Linked DNA regions of Tribolium castaneum. The protein of the gene in region 2 interacts with the protein of the main gene of each other region in a biochemical or structural test. Links are inferred from orthologs where the notes say so. Each region holds a gene or a part of one and is shown on either strand. Other genes may lie near its edges.

The links. The genes of interacting proteins can lie anywhere in the genome.
Region 1: the proteins of Prp6 (region 2) and holn1 form a complex in vitro, tested with the Homo sapiens proteins (2 studies listed by BioGRID and IntAct). The link is inferred for Tribolium castaneum from reciprocal best matches to the Homo sapiens genes PRPF6 and CD2BP2.

The regions. Positions count from the first base shown.
Region 1 is NC_087402.1:7,512,625-7,515,116, forward strand, and holds holn1 (CD2 antigen cytoplasmic tail-binding protein 2 homolog), read right to left. Parts: upstream 1,549-2,492; 5' UTR 1,511-1,548; coding exon 566-1,510; 3' UTR 519-565; downstream 1-518. Other genes in the region: Etf-QO (electron transfer flavoprotein-ubiquinone oxidoreductase, mitochondrial), read left to right, coding at 1-499. UniProt on the Homo sapiens protein: Involved in pre-mRNA splicing as component of the U5 snRNP complex that is involved in spliceosome assembly.
Region 2 is NC_087399.1:6,879,911-6,883,380, reverse strand, and holds part of Prp6 (pre-mRNA-processing factor 6), read right to left. Parts: intron 2,650-3,470; coding exon 1,962-2,649; intron 1-1,961. UniProt on the Homo sapiens protein: Involved in pre-mRNA splicing as component of the U4/U6-U5 tri-snRNP complex, one of the building blocks of the spliceosome.

The DNA.
Region 1 (2,492 bases), on a different chromosome or scaffold from region 2:
GAGGAACGTACGACCCAGCTTCCATAATCCTTTGGGGATGTATGGAGGAGTGATGTACAGTGGATTTTCCATAATGATTGGGGGGATGGAACCGTGGACTTTCAAACATGGCGATCCCGATTACAAGAGACTCAAACCGGCCAAAGACTGTACACCTATCGATTATCCGAAGCCTGACGGTAAAATCAGCTTCGATCTCCTCTCTTCCGTTGCGCTGACTGGGACCAATCATGAAGGTGACCAACCCCCGCATCTAACCCTGAAGGACGATACCGTTCCTGTTAAGCAAAATTTGGGCATTTATGACGGGCCTGAAGGCCGGTTTTGTCCAGCAGGAGTGTACGAATTCGTCCCGCTTGAAAGTGGGGACGGTCAAAGGCTGCAAATCAACGCCCAGAACTGTATACATTGCAAAACTTGCGATATTAAAGACCCGAGTCAGAACATCAACTGGGTGGTTCCCGAAGGAGGTGGCGGCCCGGCTTACAACGGAATGTAATTAAGTGCCTTTAAGCAAATTGCTTGACTTTTTATGTATATTGATAATAAAATTTTTATAACACTGTTAGTCATACAGCTCGAAGTCTATCCGGTTCGAGGTGTAAAAGTTGGATTGTTCGCCACACTTACGCACCCACACTCCCGTCTTGAAGTACCCTTCTTTGGACCACTTTAACATTTGTGAGGTGTCGTACGGACCCTCGACTTGGTCCTTGTCTTGGTCCCACTTAAATTCCCACATTAACTGCTCTGGTTTACCTGACACTGACGCCGTCTCCATCTTCTCCTTCTCCTTGTCGCCGAAGTCGTCAGCATACATGTCCAGAACAGGCTCACTGTTTTTCGGTTTCGTTCGGTCGTCAATTTTTTTGGTAATTTCTTCAAAAGTCTCCTGGTATACGTTCATGTTCCCCGTCTTCGTTAATATACTATTCGCGATCTCGGTCATGTCCGCCACATCCTGATTCGAATTCAAAGTCCCTGCCTTCTTGCGCTTCAGTCTCTCGACACTGGACAACTTCAAATCGCCCCCTAACCGCCTCAAACACTTGTTGACCGTTTCTTTGGGTTTCATGTAGTTGAGCATCTTTTTGTACAAACCGACCTCATCGAAATCCTCAGCTTCCGACTCAGAATCACTCTCGGCCCCCAAGCCTTTCTCGTTGGGGTCCAACTGGTACTTATCGTCACTGTTGACTTTATGCCAGTCGATGTTGTCCAACCAATTATCCCGTATTTCCTTCTCGTTGTTCCAAATAAAGTGGCCCTCTTTGTCGAAATGCCCTTCTTCCATCTCCTCTTTCATGTTGAAGGCGGTCATCCGGACCCCTTCAACCTGACGCGAAATTCCCTCCTCTTCGCCCTCGATGTCGTCGGCGTTGAGCTCTTCAGCGGTCTCATCGTAATCGTCCTCTTCGTCCGAATCCAAGGAATGTTTTTTTGCGTTAAACTTCACCTGGCGCCGCTTATTTTGCGAAAAATCGCCTTCGTTGAATTTTCGTTTTGACATTTTTGACAAATGCAAAACAAACAACACGCATGCTCTCAAAACCGATCTGCACTTTTGGTTTGTATCCACGGTTAAATTTTTTAATATTTGTTTTTTTTGGAAATAATCATAATCAGCTTTTTTTACCGCAAATTTTTCACCACGCTTATTACTAAAACATAAACAACTCAAAAATATATTGTAAAAAACCCAAAAAGTTAAGAAAAACTGTAAAATTGAAATGGTATGTTTGGCAACTATCCAAGAGATGGCACAAGCTACTTTAAAATTTGTTTATACTGTGTGTTTCAAAAAAGATGTCCTCCAAATACGTGCAAATACGAATTTCTCTTATGCTCTCATTACTTATTAGCAGTCGCATATTTACATAAGGAGAAAATGGGCTATAGCCCAGAACGACAGAATTTTAGAATTTTTTTGTTACAAGCTTTATTTTTTAAATAAATTGCAAACTAAAGGTTCTGATTTTTTATGGTTGAAATAATGAGTTTTAAGATGTTTTTAATAGTTTCAAATTATATTATATTAAATTCACAATAAGTAAACAGAGAACAAGCCTGAGTACCTAATGCAAATATCTACAGAAAAAGTTTTTAAGTCAGCGACAACGTACACGTACAACTAATATTGTAGAAAAAAGTGCAAAATAGCTACGCTTTTTTTTTTAAAACTTCATAAATAAATACAGGCTGATTTTTTAACATATCTCAGAATATAAATGAGAACATTTAATACCTAGTACATGTTTGGTGACATTACTAAGAATTGTTTCAGGTTTTCCCATGTGATTTTCAGAATTATCTTGCATTTTTAGAGAATTTGTGCTAGAACTGAATTTGCTATTTGATTGACTGATTAAAAAAAGTTCAGATATTAAAAAAAATTAATTAATTTTGTATTTTAAGTTTATTAAGTTACACCTAATGCAAGATTGTAGAGCCATAAATACTACAAGCGCGTCAATTAATAATACAGTGAAACT
Region 2 (3,470 bases):
AGTCATATTTGACAAAATTTCAAAAAATAAGTAAGTTTTTTACTCAAAAACAAGACGCCAAACTTATGTCATTACATAATCTTAACTCAGAAACAAAAAAATAAAATACAAAAAAGTTTATTTTTATTAATTTTTCGATTTTAAAATATTTTTCACATCAAAATATTCAAACAAGAATTTTTGTGGTGAATTTAAAAAAATAAAAAACTACAGAAACGGTCAATTTTTGTTTAAAAAATTGTCTTCAGTCTCATTTACATTTAACAAAAAAATAATAAACAAAATAATGAGGGGAAAAATCATAAAACCAAATAATAAATTAATTATTAAGTATTATCCTACTTAATTTTCACTCTTAAAACAAATACAAAATACATAAAAATAACAACATTTATGAACTAAATTTCACAAAATAAGTTAACTGTCGACGTAATTAAGTGATTTTTCGACTTAAGTGTATTTTAATTTTCGCTTTTAAGCGTGTTTGATTTTGACAACTTAGATTTTTATGGTCCAAAAAATATTAGAGCCATTATAGATGCAAAAAAAGCTTAAAACTTGCTTATAGTCAAGAATCATAAAACAAATAAAAACTTTCCTCAAAGCTTGTCATAAATAAAACTGCACATGTCTGAGTATAAAGTTGAAACTCCTACTAAATCTTGAAGAAATCTAATGAAACAAATGTCTTACAAAACCGCACTTAATAAAATATGTGCAATGATTGAATTTTCGATAAAATAGACGCAATAGTTAATGGGTAAGTACTTTAAAAATGCTATATTAATAACTACTAATAAATTCACTAATTTAAAAAAAATATGAACACTACAAAAATCTTAAATTTTTGTTTAAAAATTCTCATGACTGACTATTAATTTTATTTTTTTGTTAATTTCATTCAAATTAAAAAAAAAAACCACAGCAATTTCACTCTGTATAAAATAAGATGACCAAACCATAATAAACAAAATAATGACGATAAAAAAAGACAGGTAAAAAAGACTTTTATTTCTAGTAATAGGTCCCTAATATTATTATTATTGGTTACGTACTTTTAAAATGCTATTCTCGTGGTGAATAAAAAAATGTAAACACTACAAAAATCTTAAATTTTTGTATAAAAATTCTCTTGACTGACTATTAATTTTATTTTTAAGTTAATTTCACTCAAATTAAAAAAAAAAATCCACAGCAATTTCACTCTGTATAAAATAAGATGACCAAACCATAATAAACAAAATAATGACGATAAAAAAAGACAGGTAAAAAAAGACTTTTATTTCTAGTAATAGATCCCATAATATTATTATTATTGGTTACGTACTTTTAAAAATCTTAAATTTTTGTTTAAAAATTCTCTTGACTGACTATTAATTTTATTTTTAAGTTAATTTCATTCAAATTTAAAAAAAAATCCACAGCAATTTCACTCTGTATAAAATAAGATAACCAAACCATAATAAACAAAATAATGATGATAAAAAAAGACAGGTAAAAAAAGACTTTTATTTCTAGTAATAGATCCCATAATATTATTATTATTGGTTACGTACTTTTAAAAATCTTAAATTTTTGTTTAAAAATTCTCTTGACTGACTATTAATTTTATTTTTAAGTTAATTTCATTCAAATTCAAAAAAAAATCCACAGCAATTTCACTCTCTATAAAATAAGATGACCAAACCTTAATAAACAAAATAGTGACGATGAAAAAAGACAGGTAAAAAAAAACTTTTATTTCTAGTAATAGGTCCCATAATATTATTATTATTGGTTACGTACTTTTAAAATGATATTCTCGTGATGAATAAAAAAAATGTAAACACTACAAAAATTTTAAATTTAATTTTAATTAAACAATTGACAGAGTATTTTTATTTTTAAGCATAATAAACAAAATAATGGGAAGAAAAAAACATAATAAAAAATCAATAACAAAAGACTTGTATTTCTCATACCTTGATCCAGATCCGTACCGACGTTGGAATATGCCTGGCCGCCTGCGCAATCACCGCCTTGGCCGTATCCTGGGGATTAATCCTGGCCGCCTCCAGCCACAAATCCTCACTTTGTGGATTAACCTCACACCCTTTCATAATCAAATTCCTCGCCGCTTGCACCTTCCCCGTAACTTCCTCCAGCCTGGCACTAGCAATCCACGCCGGAGGATGATTCGGATTCGTCTCCCTCACCGATTTAAGCAACAATCTCGCCTTCTTAATATCATTAATATCCCCACCGTAGGTGGGAATCATTGATTGCAAATCGGTCAAATACCCTTTCGGGTCCACAACTGTTTGTCCAGTCACCGAATCGGACACTTGCGACAACTTAACATTCATGAGAGTGTTGCGGGCTTGTCCGATTTTTCGCAAGTCCATGTCTCCGGTCGGGGTGAGCATTCCGGGGGTGGCAACACCCGGAACCATGCTTGCTAGCCCCGAACTGGGGTCAATGGTGGTGTTGGATTCGCCCCCCAGGTTCCGGGCTAGGACGCTGTCGGGCAAAGGGATGAATTTTTCGGCTCGGGGATTGCGCTGTTTCCGGTTACGGGCGTCCCCCACGTCTGGGACGCTCCGCCATTCGTCGTCGGAGACGTTCTGCAGGTCGCGTTTCAAGTCGGAGAACTGTTGCTGGATTTTTGGCCTAACAAGAAAATTCTTTTAACCAAAGTGATAGAAAAAAACTTTAAAAAATATTTTATGTAACTTAGTTAATTTTTACTTTTTTAATTTCTTTTTTATTCATCTCTTTTTCAATGTAAACACGTCTGAAAATGATAGTTACCAACGAAACATGTTCCTTTTATAATTTTTAACATCTTTAATAGCTACAACTGTGTGGAAGTTCACAAAATTTTTTTCATCTTTTTGTTAAGTTATCAGCAATCCACTTAGAAAAAAATGAATCCAGCTTAACATAAAATTATTTTATATAATCCAAGGATGGTTTTAGGTTTAATTTTAAAACTGTCGTATCAGAACAGATTTTTTTTTATTTTGGGATGAATATCATAATTCACTGTTAATTTCAGTCCTATCAAAAAAAATTAATCAAAGAGTAGTTCTACAAGCGTCTAGCAGGAGCAAAATTTGCTATGCCCGAGGCCCATTGGAAAATATTTGCTTTGGGAGCAAAAATCTTTATGAATTCGTACAATTCATTGATACTGGCTAATAAAAAAAGTAAAAATTTCTACAAGAGTCCAGTCGATAGTTTCCGGTATGCCATAAAAAACATAGAATTGTTGACGTGTCTCTTCAAGTTTTTACAGTGTACAGTGTATGTGAGAAATGCCAAGAAAAAAATGTATAGAGAAATTTAATTATTAATTCAAATGTCAGACCGTTAGATACCTTTTTCATTCTGCTACATTTTGTAAAAATTCACAAAATCTGTTGATAAGTATTAAAAAAACTCCAAAAAAAAAATATTCTAAGAAGCAATAGATCATTTACGACCAATTT